Linked DNA regions of Saccharomyces cerevisiae S288C. The protein of the gene in region 1 interacts with the protein of each later gene in a pairwise test. Each region holds a gene or a part of one and is shown in the gene's direction. Other genes may lie near its edges.

What was found.
Region 2: the proteins of AUS1 (region 1) and FUR4 interact in a protein complementation assay, tested with the Saccharomyces cerevisiae proteins (one study listed by BioGRID).

The regions. Positions count from the first base shown.
Region 1 is NC_001147.6:346,165-356,008, forward strand, and holds AUS1 (ATP-binding cassette sterol transporter AUS1), read left to right. Parts: upstream 1-3,514; coding exon 3,515-7,699; downstream 7,700-9,844. Other genes in the region: TIR2 (putative GPI-anchored mannoprotein), read right to left, coding at 31-786; YOR011W-A (uncharacterized protein), read left to right, coding at 9,488-9,694. UniProt on the Saccharomyces cerevisiae protein: Transporter involved in the uptake of sterol.
Region 2 is NC_001134.8:279,826-285,661, forward strand, and holds FUR4 (uracil permease), read left to right. Parts: upstream 1-1,617; coding exon 1,618-3,519; downstream 3,520-5,836. Other genes in the region: GAL1 (galactokinase), read left to right, coding at 1-782; POA1 (ADP-ribose 1''-phosphate phosphatase), read left to right, coding at 3,913-4,446; chitin synthase CHS3, read right to left, coding at 4,603-5,836. UniProt on the Saccharomyces cerevisiae protein: Transport of uracil.

The DNA.
Region 1 (9,844 bases):
GAACATTAAAAATTCCATTTAAAAATGAGATTATAATAACATGGCGGCAGCGGCCATGACACCAGCACCCATACCGATGACAGCCTTGGCAGCACCGTTTTCAGTTTGTTCGGAAACAGTGCTAGTGGCTTGAACTTGACCATCACTGATTTGAGAAATGGCGGAGGCTTTGGTGGAAGAAGCAACAGCTGAAGAAACAGCAGAGGAAGAAGCCTTAGTGGAAGAGGCAGCCTTGGTAGAGGAAGCGACGGTGGAAGAGGTAGCCTCACTGGAAGAAGCGACAGCAGAAGAAGTAGCAGCAGAAGAAGAAGCTTCACTGGAAGAAGCGACGGCAGAAGAAGTAGCTTCACTGGAGGAAGCGACGGCAGAAGAAGTAGTTTCACTGGAGGAAGCAACAGCGGAAGAAGTAGCAGCAGAAGAAGCTTCAGTAGAAGAGGCAGCGGTGGTAGAAGTTCCTAACAAGGATTCCAATTCTGGTAGAAGCCTGGAAGAATACCATGGAACCATGGTCAACATCTTGCTAACAGCAGCAAAGTCAACCTCAGAGTACAAAGTAGTGTAGGAGTCATCAGTGGCGGAAGCCAAAGCTAAACCGATGTCTAAAACACCAGATGGCAGACTGCTTAAGGAAAATCCAGATGAAGAATCTTCAGCCAAACTAATATATTCTTGCAAGTTGGACTTAACGTCATTCAAAATAACGTTCAATTCGTCAATTTCTTCCTGAGTTTGGGCAGAAGCCAAAGCAGCGATAGCAGCTAATAAAGCGATCTTGATGTAAGCCATTTTTTTGTTATAGTTGAAGCGAGTGTACGAGTGTGTTTTGTATTATTGTGCTGATAATGGCTAAACTGGAAAAGAAGATGATATGTGAGAGCTCTCATTGTTCGAATTTCGTTAACTACTTATATATTATTTTCCGTAGTTACGAAAGTTGAACATTACTTTGTTGTTTTCTTGCTTACTCGTTTACTCACATGATGCTCAGCTATTAAGATAGTTCAGTAGAACATCTTACACTAAACTTTGCACCACAATGTTGATGGTTGCTTTGGGAGATCATTACGGAAAAAAAACTCTTGGCTTTCAAGGATTCCCTGCGACCTAACTCTGCACTCCTTCTGCAAGGTACTGTTTATTTTTTTCGTGTGTCCTTTACGAGGAACGAATAAAGGCTTGAAAGGTAGTTTTAAAGATGAACTTCTTCTTTTCTTTCTTTGCCTATGATTCCTCCAGGGTTTTCTTGCCTTCTACTTTTGGACAGAAATGTCTTTTTTGGGAAATGTGAGTCTCGTTTGGGAATCTTGGCCGGCCAAGATTTTATAAAGATGTTTCTGTAGGCAACGCGCTGCTCTAAGCACCGTGGGGAGGCCATGAAATATGATTGCGCGTAGTTCCCCAACGTTACGTTTATTTTTTTCTGGGCATAAAAAAAGCCAAGACATTCCCCACTGCTTTCCTACAGGCTCTCTATTGTGTATACTTTGCGCTATTGTGTGCTTTGTTGTTGGTCCGAAGATCGCATAAGAGGCACGCCTCTTATCAATTTCTTTATAGGCGGCTACCGCCAGTGGAGTAAAATTCACGCCTTTTTTGTCCACTCCTTTTTCCGTAAATATTACATAATTAAATAGTCACAGCTCTTACGCACCTGTTTGGCCGCACATGAGAGTTAAACGCAAACTCCGCCGAGGCGTCGTTTTTCTAGCTGCTGCTTCACGTTTTATGGAGTCATATTCTGGTCTAAAAAAATTATACTAGGCAGGTAATGGATTGTTTTAAGTTTCTTGTTAACTCACATAGGATCTTTTTTGAGTACCTTGTGAAATGGTTAGATTTGATACCTTATTTTTTTCCAACATTACATTATTTTAGTATCGTTCAAGTTCTCCTTTACTTTTAGAGATTACGCCTACATTATGTATGCCGAACTTAGTAGGAACTATTTGTACGCAAAACATGAATTGTTTGTCGTGTCTGCATACATTAGTGTTGACAGTCAGAGAACTTGATTTTAAAAATAAAAGTTTCTTGTTTACAAAAAAGTATGGTCACCCGGTGTCTTTGCTATAATGGGAACAGAAAACCATTTGCAAGACTACTAAAATACGATTTTGTAATTTGACGTTACAAATATAGGGATAGTTGATAAATAGTTACGCGCAGTTAACTTTTCCTCACCAAAGGACAGTTATTTACCTACTGATTGAAAATGTTTTGGCACAGGATACCAGTTTTCAAATTTATTAATTAATTAAGGAGAAGTGAGAAATGATTAGAAAGCAATTAAGCGGTGAAGGTCTGCTTTTTATACTTACAAGAACGTATTATTAGCAGCCAACGCACTACAGTTGTTGACTAAGTTTTGTTTTAATTTGATTCGTAGTTGTTGGTCGAATTTTGTTTTGACTTGTTTTCAGTTTCTTTTTTTTTAATGCCTGACGTTGAAGAGCACGCAGGCCTATGAAAAAAAAAAATTATACGAGTTACTTGGAATTCGCTCCCATTGCACCAATTTCAGGAAGCGATCAAAAAGAAAGCAATGTTATTCAACATAACTTTATTCATACTGTAGTAACAATAACTTCATATCAATTAGGATTCACTGTTCATTGACTTATCACTACAATATGGAGGAAACGTTGCGTAATCGTTGTCGCTATAGATATTGTCCCTCCCTTCCTCTGTGATAGTTCTTCTTTATATAACTTTCACAAAAGCTTCTGCCCTCATAGTTGCCCTCAATAAACGAAAGGCCAGATGCATACAGGTGCAGTAGTACATCCAAAGAAACATAGGGGCAAAAACCGTGTTCTAATATTAGACTGCATATATCCCCTTGTCATTAGCTTAAATCATATAGAGTAATATGTACATACAGGTTATTTTATTTGTAGCTTTCCTCCTCTTTATGGAGCAAAGTAAGCCATACGAACGGTTTACAATAGAGAGCGTCGTTTGCTTACGTGATTGTCATGTGCCTTCGTAGGCAAAGGGGATTGCACACCTTTTTACTAAACAATAGAAAAGTGAGAATTCTCTTATAGGCACTGCTGCTCCTCGTTTCTTTTTACGCGCTGTCGTTCCAGGTCCTTTTTTCGATTAACTACGGTAGTTTCAAAGAGAGTGCCTGAAGATCACTCCATATACAGGCTAGATGAACTGTAAACGAGCTCATCAGCAGCGTCCCTTTCAGTGTCACTACAGCCACAGCAGCTTACCTCCTGTACGATGTGACAGAGCAAAACACAAATGTGTGTCCTTTCTACTCTTATTTTCCAACTCGAATATAAAGACGGTGCCTTTGCCTTATTTCTAAGGCACTGAACAGTTCTAAAAGTAAAGTTTTCCCTAGCCTTAGTACCGTTTCTGTGAAGCAGTTATTGAATAGTTATTGGACATAAAAATCCATATTGAAAAAAAAAAAAACATACTTGAGAAGGCATTAGCTGAATAGTAAAGACTGCTGTAATTCATCTCTCAGTCCTTGCAGTCTGCTTTTTCTGGAATTAATATGTCAATTTCAAAGTACTTCACTCCCGTTGCTGACGGGTCACTCACTTTCAATGGCGCGAACATTCAATTTGGCGCCGATGCTCAAGGCGAGTCAAAAAAGAGTTATGACGCTGAGGACAGCATGCCGAATCCGGCAAATCAACTAAATGACATAACCTTCCAAGCAGAGGCTGGTGAAATGGTTTTGGTTTTGGGTTATCCCACATCCACTCTATTTAAGACTTTGTTTCATGGTAAAACTAGTTTGTCATACTCTCCTCCAGGCTCGATTAAATTTAAAAATAATGAGTTTAAGAGCTTTTCCGAAAAATGTCCCCACCAAATCATTTACAATAATGAACAAGATGTGCATTTCCCATTTCTAACGGTAGAACAAACAATTGATTTTGCCTTGAGTTGTAAGTTCGATATTCCAAAAGGTGAGCGCGATCAAATAAGAAATGAACTTCTAAGAGAATTCGGCCTGTCTCATGTATTGAAAACTATTGTAGGAAATGATTTTTTCCGTGGTGTTTCTGGTGGTGAGCGTAAACGTATTTCTATTATTGAAACGTTTATTGCTAATGGTTCCGTTTATCTATGGGATAATTCTACTAAAGGTTTAGATTCCGCCACAGCTCTCGATTTTTTGGAAATTCTTAGAAAAATGGCAAAAGCTACTCGTTCTGTAAACTTAGTCAGAATTTCCCAGGCAAGTGATAAAATTGTTGATAAGTTTGACAAGATTCTTATGCTATCCGATTCCTACCAGCTTTTCTATGGTACGGTCGATGAGTGTTTGACTTATTTTCGTGACACTTTAGGTATTGAGAAAGATCCTAACGATTGTATTATTGAATATCTGACCTCTATCTTAAATTTTCAGTTCAAAAATAAAAATTTGGGGAATTTATCAAATTCATCATCTGCTAGCGTTCTCAAAACCGCAACAGGGGAAGTCACTAAGTATACTTATAATTCTGATTTCGATTTATATGATCAATGGAAACATTCTTCGTACTATAGAAATATAAAGCAGCAAATCCAGGGGTCTTCAATTGATGACTCCATTAAGGAAGTGGATCCCTCTGATGTCTCACCTATTTTTAATATTCCGTTGAAGAAACAATTATTATTTTGCACAAAAAGAGCTTTTCAACGAAGTTTGGGTGATAAAGCTTATATGACGGCACAATTTATTTCTGTCGTTATTCAATCTTTGGTCATTGGTTCACTGTTTTACGAAATTCCGTTGACTACCATTGGTTCATACTCAAGAGGTTCTTTAACCTTTTTCTCCATTCTTTTCTTCACTTTTCTTTCTCTTGCAGATATGCCTATTGCCTTCCAAAGACAACCCGTCGTTAAAAAGCAATCCCAACTTCACTTCTATACTAACTGGGTTGAAACCCTTTCAACAACAGTGTTCGACTACTGCTTTAAACTTTGTTTGGTAATTGTATTCAGTATCATCCTATACTTCCTTGCTCACCTGCAATACAAGGCTGCAAGATTTTTCATTTTCCTCCTGTTCCTTTCCTTTTACAATTTCTGTATGGTGTCCTTATTCGCTTTGACGACACTAGTTGCTCCAACCATTTCAGTTGCAAATTTATTTGCAGGTATTCTGCTACTAGCTATAGCAATGTATGCTTCTTACGTCATCTACCTGAAAAATATGCATCCTTGGTTTGTATGGATTGCTTATCTAAATCCTGCAATGTACGCTATGGAGGCAATACTGTCTAATGAGCTTTACAATTTGAAGCTGGATTGTAGTGAGACAATTGTTCCAAGAGGTCCTACTTACAACGATGTTCCATTTTCCCATAAGGCCTGTGCTTGGCAAGGTGCTACTCTGGGTAATGATTACGTTAGAGGCCGTGATTACTTGAAGCAAGGTTTATCCTACACGTATCATCATGTGTGGAGAAACTTTGGTATTATCATTGGTTTCCTAGTATTCTTTATTGCCTGTACTCTGTTTGCATCTCAATATATTAAGCCTTATTTCAATAAGGATGAAATAGAGCGCAACAATAGTCGTTTGACAAGATGGCTACCATTTTTGAATAAAAAGAGAGGTACCAGGTCCTCTGCAAGAAATGACAGTAAGTATGTTGGTATCCCAAAGTCGCACTCCGTTTCGTCTTCCTCGTCTAGCCTGTCGGCTGTTCCATATCAGATATCACCCTCAAATAAGGAAATGGCTCTAAACGATTATAACGAGCAACCTATCACGGAAACAGTAGAGACTCAAAAGCATATCATCTCTTGGAAAAATATCAACTACACAGTTGGTACAAAGAAACTGATTAATAATGCATCCGGTTTCATCAGTTCTGGTTTGACCGCCTTAATGGGTGAGTCCGGTGCAGGTAAAACTACTTTGCTGAATGTCTTATCACAAAGAGTTGAGACAGGTGTTGTTAGCGGCGAAATTTTGATCGATGGCCACCCATTGACAGATGAGGACGCGTTTAAGAGAAGTATTGGTTTTGTTCAACAACAGGATTTGCATCTAGATTTGCTGTCTGTGAAAGAATCTCTGGAAATATCATGTCTTTTGAGAGGTGATGGTGACAGGGCATACTTAGACACTGTTTCAAATTTACTGAAATTGCCATCTGACATTTTAGTCGCTGATTTAAACCCGACTCAAAGGAAGCTTTTATCTATCGGTGTTGAACTTGTTACTAAGCCTTCACTTTTATTATTCCTAGACGAACCAACCTCTGGGCTGGACGCTGAGGCTGCACTAACAATCGTCAAATTTTTAAAACAACTTTCTTTACAGGGTCAGGCTATTTTTTGTACCATTCATCAGCCTAGTAAAAGTGTCATCAGCCATTTTGACAATATTTTCTTATTGAAAAGGGGTGGTGAATGTGTCTTCTTTGGACCAATGGACGATGCCTGCGGCTATTTCATGTCTCATGACAACACGCTCGTTTACGATAAAGAACATGATAACCCTGCAGATTTCGTCATTGATGCAGTAGGTAACAGTAACTCCTCGGCAGGGAAAGATACAGCGGAGGAAGCTCTTACTTTGAACAAAGAAGCCATAGATTGGAGTGCATTATGGGAATCTTCTGTAGAAAAGAAACTAGTTAAAAAAGAAACAGCTAGGTTAGAAGATGATGCTCGTGCGTCTGGTGTTGATTACACAACCTCATTGTGGAAGCAGCCTTCCTACTTACAGCAATTAGCTCTTATTACAAGAAGACAATATATTTGTACGAAAAGAGACATGACTTATGTCATGGCCAAGTACTGTTTGAATGGTGGCGCTGGTTTGTTTATCGGTTTCTCATTTTGGCACATTAAGCATAATATTATCGGTTTGCAGGATAGTATCTTCTTCTGTTTCATGGCTCTTTGTGTTTCATCTCCATTGATCAATCAAATTCAGGACAAAGCCTTGAAAACAAAGGAAGTTTATGTTGCTAGGGAGGCGAGATCTAACACTTATCACTGGACTGTTCTTCTTTTGTCACAGTCAATTATTGAACTACCACTGGCACTTACAAGTTCCACACTATTTTTCGTCTGTGCCTTTTTCTCTTGTGGATTTAACAACGCTGGCTGGAGTGCCGGTGTTTTCTTTTTAAACTATATGCTTTTCGCTGCTTATTACTCGACTCTTGGTTTATGGCTGATCTATACTGCTCCTAATCTACAAACTGCTGCTGTTTTTGTTGCGTTTATTTACAGTTTTACAGCATCATTCTGTGGTGTTATGCAACCATACTCTTTGTTTCCAACTTTTTGGAAATTCATGTACAGGGTTTCGCCATACACATATTTTGTGGAAACTTTTGTTAGTATTCTATTGCATAACTGGGAAATCAAGTGTGACATGTCGGAGATGGTTCCTGGTCAACCTCTGACGGGGCAATCTTGTGGCCAATTTATGGAAGCTTTCATAGAAGAATACGGTGGCTATCTACATAATAAGAACACTTTCACAGTCTGCGCTTATTGTACGTACACTGTTGGCGATGACTTCCTGAAAAATGAGAATATGAGTTACGACCACGTTTGGAGGAACTTTGGTATTGAATGGGCTTTTGTTGGTTTCAATTTCTTTGCGATGTTTGCTGGTTACTACTTAACTTACGTGGCAAGAATATGGCCAAAGGTCTTTAAAATTATCACCAAAGTAATTCCACACAGAGGGAAGAAGCCTGTACAGAACTAATACCATTTTTAAATATATTTCTACTTTCTACTTAATAGCAATTTTAATTAATCTAATTATTTACAAGTCACCAATGACTGACTAAACAATTGAAAGAGTCCTTTGTACAACAAAAAAAAAGATACTTGTCGCTGACGCTCAAAAAATATTTATATAGCAAAAGTGCACGACAAAAAATGCTTCCAATCGGATTTGAACCGATGATCTCCACATTACTAGTGTGGCGCCTTACCAACTTGGCCATAGAAGCAGTAAACCGTTATTTTGTTGTTTCTCAGAGTGGTACACGTCAGTATGACAATACATCATCCTAAAACGTTCATATGAAACAACCTTATAACAAAACGAACAGAATGAGCAACATGACATATAACTTCGCCTCCCTTAGCTTAACCACCCAAACGTATAGACGCCTGAGCAATTAATTTAGATCCGAGGTTCGGCGCTTCCACCAATTAATATGATCCATATTTTATATAATATATAGGATAAGTAACATCCCATGAAAAGCTGATAATCCGTTCTGACAACTGGTTACTTCCATTGACTGTTTATATTGGGATTTTCAAGACACCCCGGTATTACTCGTACCCGTAAAACAACATACACTTCGTCATGACTGAGAAGAATATAGGAGTAAAAAGAATACCTGAACTAACAGATATAATCAGCATCATGTTTTTTAAGCGAGAATACAGAAATATTCAAATTAAGATAGGCAACAAGGATTAGTTTAAATCTGAAAATCTTTTAAGATTAGGTACCTAATTTAGCTATATTGCTTTATGATTAGTTATAACGTCATTGGAGGAACAAACTATTGGAATAAGAATCGACTATAATCTACCGGCGAGTATTCATAAGCTATTATATTGTGGTAGACGGAGTAGAAAGATAAAAAAGGATTGAAAACAGTCATCTGATTTAATGGAAGCTGAAATGCAAGATTTAATAATGTAATAGGATAATGAATGACAACATAAAAAATAGAAGAAATAATAATAGTAACATTATGTGGAAATATGGGTTTCCTTGGCAGGTTCCTATATCCTTGAGAAAGAGCTTCTAATATATTTTGTATATTTAGTATTATAACTAAGCTGTTAGAAAATAAAATACCGCTAAATCAATTGAGGCGGTATTAAATACCTGTACATTTGAATATTTGGAATGAGAAAGAAATATAGTTACATAATGTACAAAAAAGAAGCAAGAAAGGAATATATATATATATATATATATATATATATATGTATATTGTTATTTAGAATATCTCTCTCTCTTCGAGAATCTCTATATCCTCGAAAAGAACTTTTAGCATATTCACGATAGGTCGTATTATCAATTAAATCAATTACGAAGTTCGGAAGTTATTGCCTACATAATATGATGTCCTGTTCATAAAAATAGAGCCCTAAGAAGTGTTATTAAATTTAACCAGCCTACAAATTAAATATAAAATGAGTGTTATTGTTCCACCGACTTGAATAATTGTACAACTTTAGCTAACATTTTAACTAATATTTTAACGCATCTTATTATCAAGTATTGTAACAATACGTATCATCTTACTATCTCAATGGAAGCATTCTCTTATACATACTGAGTCAAATATCTTGAAGACTCATTATAATGTGTAATAAAAGGACAAAGCAGCGTAGAAGCCTTAAATAACTATGCACTTGGACACATGTCTTCTCACGACGTGTTCAAATATAATGATTTTTCAATCAGCTTTGAAGTTCAATACAAACTTCTTCACTAAAGGATAATAAGCAATCATTATTAATGGCAAAATCGGTTTTCAATTTCTTTCATTTTGAAATATTGGAGTATTTAAACCGTTTTGTGTATCATTCACAATACTTTCTTCCATACTACTGCTCTCTTGAAGTTCTTGGGAAGAGCCGAAAAAATTGGACATTTCAATATTGGTGCTTATACATTACTACTGACAAGAAGATAATAAAAAAGAAAGATTTCTATCACCGATAGTGAGCTCTTTAGAAAACTGAACGCAATAAATTTTATGCCTCATAACGTCTTGGGGCGCGAGAATTTACTGACGTAAACAGATCCGGCTCAAAAAGTCGTCTTTACCTTTCTATCATCTCGTCGCATAATTATTAAATTAACTCACAATTT
Region 2 (5,836 bases), on another chromosome or scaffold:
CCGCCCCAACCAACTATAATTTAAGAGTGGTAGAAGTCACTACAGCTGCAAATGTTTTAGCTGCCACGTACGGTGTTGTTTTACTTTCTGGAAAAGAAGGATCGAGCACGAATAAAGGTAATCTAAGAGATTTCATGAACGTTTATTATGCCAGATATCACAACATTTCCACACCCTGGAACGGCGATATTGAATCCGGCATCGAACGGTTAACAAAGATGCTAGTACTAGTTGAAGAGTCTCTCGCCAATAAGAAACAGGGCTTTAGTGTTGACGATGTCGCACAATCCTTGAATTGTTCTCGCGAAGAATTCACAAGAGACTACTTAACAACATCTCCAGTGAGATTTCAAGTCTTAAAGCTATATCAGAGGGCTAAGCATGTGTATTCTGAATCTTTAAGAGTCTTGAAGGCTGTGAAATTAATGACTACAGCGAGCTTTACTGCCGACGAAGACTTTTTCAAGCAATTTGGTGCCTTGATGAACGAGTCTCAAGCTTCTTGCGATAAACTTTACGAATGTTCTTGTCCAGAGATTGACAAAATTTGTTCCATTGCTTTGTCAAATGGATCATATGGTTCCCGTTTGACCGGAGCTGGCTGGGGTGGTTGTACTGTTCACTTGGTTCCAGGGGGCCCAAATGGCAACATAGAAAAGGTAAAAGAAGCCCTTGCCAATGAGTTCTACAAGGTCAAGTACCCTAAGATCACTGATGCTGAGCTAGAAAATGCTATCATCGTCTCTAAACCAGCATTGGGCAGCTGTCTATATGAATTATAAGTATACTTCTTTTTTTTACTTTGTTCAGAACAACTTCTCATTTTTTTCTACTCATAACTTTAGCATCACAAAATACGCAATAATAACGAGTAGTAACACTTTTATAGTTCATACATGCTTCAACTACTTAATAAATGATTGTATGATAATGTTTTCAATGTAAGAGATTTCGATTATCCACAAACTTTAAAACACAGGGACAAAATTCTTGATATGCTTTCAACCGCTGCGTTTTGGATACCTATTCTTGACATGATATGACTACCATTTTGTTATTGTACGTGGGGCAGTTGACGTCTTATCATATGTCAAAGTCATTTGCGAAGTTCTTGGCAAGTTGCCAACTGACGAGATGCAGTAAAAAGAGATTGCCGTCTTGAAACTTTTTGTCCTTTTTTTTTTCCGGGGACTCTACGAGAACCCTTTGTCCTACTGATTAATTTTGTACTGAATTTGGACAATTCAGATTTTAGTAGACAAGCGCGAGGAGGAAAAGAAATGACAGAAAAATTCCGATGGACAAGAAGATAGGAAAAAAAAAAAGCTTTCACCGATTTCCTAGACCGGAAAAAAGTCGTATGACATCAGAATGAAAAATTTTCAAGTTAGACAAGGACAAAATCAGGACAAATTGTAAAGATATAATAAACTATTTGATTCAGCGCCAATTTGCCCTTTTCCATTTTCCATTAAATCTCTGTTCTCTCTTACTTATATGATGATTAGGTATCATCTGTATAAAACTCCTTTCTTAATTTCACTCTAAAGCATACCCCATAGAGAAGATCTTTCGGTTCGAAGACATTCCTACGCATAATAAGAATAGGAGGGAATAATGCCAGACAATCTATCATTACATTTAAGCGGCTCTTCAAAAAGATTGAACTCTCGCCAACTTATGGAATCTTCCAATGAGACCTTTGCGCCAAATAATGTGGATTTGGAAAAAGAGTATAAGTCATCTCAGAGTAATATAACTACCGAAGTTTATGAGGCATCGAGCTTTGAAGAAAAAGTAAGCTCAGAAAAACCTCAATACAGCTCATTCTGGAAGAAAATCTATTATGAATATGTGGTCGTTGACAAATCAATCTTGGGTGTTTCTATTCTGGATTCATTTATGTACAACCAGGACTTGAAGCCCGTCGAAAAAGAAAGGCGGGTTTGGTCCTGGTACAATTATTGTTACTTCTGGCTTGCTGAATGTTTCAATATCAACACTTGGCAAATTGCAGCTACAGGTCTACAACTGGGTCTAAATTGGTGGCAGTGTTGGATAACAATTTGGATTGGGTACGGTTTCGTTGGTGCTTTTGTTGTTTTGGCCTCTAGAGTTGGATCTGCTTATCATTTGTCATTCCCTATATCATCTAGAGCATCATTCGGTATTTTCTTCTCTTTATGGCCCGTTATTAACAGAGTCGTCATGGCCATCGTTTGGTATAGTGTCCAAGCTTATATTGCGGCAACTCCCGTATCATTAATGCTGAAATCTATCTTTGGAAAAGATTTACAAGACAAAATCCCAGATCACTTTGGATCACCGAATGCTACTACTTACGAGTTCATGTGTTTTTTTATCTTTTGGGCTGCCAGTCTTCCATTTTTACTGGTTCCACCTCACAAAATTAGACACCTGTTTACTGTTAAAGCCGTCTTGGTTCCGTTTGCTTCTTTTGGTTTCTTAATTTGGGCTATCAGAAGAGCTCACGGGCGTATTGCCTTAGGATCTTTAACCGATGTACAACCTCATGGCTCTGCCTTTTCGTGGGCTTTTCTAAGATCACTAATGGGTTGTATGGCTAATTTCTCCACAATGGTAATCAACGCTCCAGATTTCTCTAGATTTTCAAAAAACCCTAACTCCGCTTTATGGTCCCAATTAGTGTGCATTCCATTTTTGTTTTCCATCACTTGTTTAATTGGAATTCTAGTCACCGCAGCTGGTTATGAAATATACGGTATTAATTACTGGTCGCCACTCGATGTGCTAGAAAAATTTTTACAGACTACTTATAATAAGGGCACAAGAGCTGGTGTTTTCTTAATCTCTTTTGTTTTCGCCGTAGCTCAGTTAGGTACTAATATTTCTGCAAACTCATTATCGTGTGGAACTGATATGTCCGCTATTTTCCCCAAGTTTATCAATATCAAGCGTGGTTCATTATTTTGTGCAGCCATGGCGCTGTGTATTTGTCCATGGAATTTAATGGCAACATCAAGTAAATTTACAATGGCTTTGTCCGCATATGCTATCTTTTTGTCCAGTATTGCCGGTGTTGTCTGCTCAGATTACTTTGTTGTTAGAAGAGGATATATCAAGCTAACACACATATATTCCCATCAAAAGGGCTCTTTTTATATGTACGGAAACAGGTTTGGTATCAATTGGAGAGCTTTGGCTGCATATCTATGTGGGGTGGCTCCTTGCTTGCCCGGTTTCATCGCGGAGGTGGGCGCTCCCGCTATAAAGGTTTCTGATGGAGCTATGAAACTATATTACCTAAGTTACTGGGTAGGATATGGCTTGAGTTTTTCTTCTTATACTGCTCTGTGTTACTTCTTCCCTGTACCTGGGTGCCCTGTTAACAACATTATAAAGGACAAGGGCTGGTTCCAAAGATGGGCCAATGTCGATGATTTTGAAGAAGAGTGGAAAGACACAATTGAGAGGGATGACCTGGTAGATGACAATATTAGTGTCTACGAACACGAACACGAAAAGACTTTCATTTAAGCTCTCCATATCTACATCACTTTCTGCATTAATCTGAAATATTTTTCAAATTTTCATGTGTAATGATATTAATCCTTATCTATACTACTTACTTCTATTTACGTTCTCTTTAGCATTTACTTTGTGCATTTGGCCTTCAATGAGCATTAATTTCACTGGTTTTAATATATTCACTCACTTTCATTCGATTTTTTGTTTGCTTTATGGCTTAGCGTTCTTTCCTCTCTCCTTTCTCTTTTTACACACGAGAAAAAATGGATAATTGTTGTATTATGCCATATGCATAACTTTACGATTCGTTATGCTATGCGAACTTGAAGCCCAGATTTCTACACGAAAAGTTTGAGTTTATTAGTATCTTCTCCAAGATAAATATAGCATCAAGTTACAGGTATGTCGAACATCACTTATGTCAAAGGTAACATCTTAAAACCAAAGTCATATGCTAGGATCCTCATCCATTCTTGCAACTGCAATGGCTCGTGGGGTGGTGGGATCGCTTATCAACTTGCTTTGCGCTACCCAAAAGCAGAGAAAGATTACGTTGAAGTATGCGAAAAGTATGGTTCTAATTTACTAGGCAAATGCATATTACTTCCCAGTTACGAAAACTCAGATCTGCTGATTTGTTGCTTGTTTACATCATCATTTGGAGGTTCAAGTCATGGAGAAAAGCAAAGTATTTTGAATTATACAAAACTTGCTTTAGATAAATTGAAGACCTTTAGAGAAGCAAAAGACAAAACTCGAACAAGTGAAGATTCAATCGGTGACTATTTAAACGGCCACATCAAATACCCAATAGGGGAATATAAATTGGAAATGCCACAGATAAATAGTGGCATATTCGGAGTCCCTTGGAAAGAGACAGAACGCGTGTTAGAAGAATTTAGTGGCGACATGAGTTTTACAGTATATCAGCTGTAATTGCCTTAGCCACGTAATATGTGCCTTTAAAGATAGAGAAATATTTATTTATTAAGTTTTAGTTCTAAGGTGTGTTAAAATACCTCTCAAATAAATAAGTTACACACAACCATATATCAACTTGTAAGTATCACAGTAAAAATATTTTCATACTGTCTATGCAACGAAGGAGTCACTTTCCTCCTTCCGATTGAGAATATCTTCCCTTTCAAATTCCCTCCATGTCCTCATTTTAATCTTTGAGTGATCAAATTCACCTTCATTCTCGTCTTGTGCCTTTTTATTACCTCCCGCAATAGTTCTCGTATCACCCCATGAGAAGTCATCAAATTTCCAGTACGCATATGAAGGTAGTACGAAATTCCAAATAGGCAAAGCACAAATATATACGCACATCCACCATAGGTACGACCATCTCGTAGCAGTTATAACAACAATTAAGCCGGGCAGACCAAGAATAATTGCCAGTAAAACTAAAGTGATTACGGGTGTAGGTTTTGATACAATGGCAAAAATAATGACATAAATAGTAAAGCAAATGGCTAACGGCAGTACCATAGTACCAATCAATTCAATACCAATCACAAATTGCATGGAAAAACAGAAAGTGCCACATAAGTCTCTGATTAGAACTAATTCAAAAAGGTTATGTACCGTAGAATTAATCCATCTTCGACGCTGGGAAAGTAAGACTTTGAATTTATCAGGGGCAATAGTTTTACAAGCAGCTTTTGGAACAAATACTTGCTTTCTCTTAGGGAAAGTCTTTAACATTAATGAAGATAAAAATCTATCTTCACCAAGTAATAATAAGTTCTTCTTATGCAAAGTGTTTGTAACATTATCCGAATATCTTTCAACAATATCTGGATTTGCCAATACAGGTACCCAATAACCATCTGAACCTTTAGGAGATTTTATACGATACATTGAGAAACATCCCGGCAAACAAGTTACCGAACCGAAGACAGATTCAAAAGCTTTAGCCTGATGATGCGAAATATAGTACTCAAACACTTGAATTGCAGTTACCCAAGATTGTGCCTTATTAGCGATCTTGGTCTCACCACAAAGACCCATAATCAAAGGATCTTTAACCATTTCAGCGACCATATGAGTTAAAGCATCGGGAAAGACTTTAGTATCAGCATCAACCATAAGTACCGTTTCGTAGAAGTCTGCCATTAGCCCCGTAATCTGCCAAATATTTTTTAAAAGCTGAAATTCCAATTGAGTCATTCTTTCATCAAATGTTATTTTTTCTAAAAAGGACATCAGAATAATTTGAGAATCACGCTTACCTCTGTTACCGGGTTTGGCGGCCCCCTGCTCTGCAGGAGTACCGCACTTCACAATTGTAATGATTGGGACACGTTGTTGATTTTCTGGT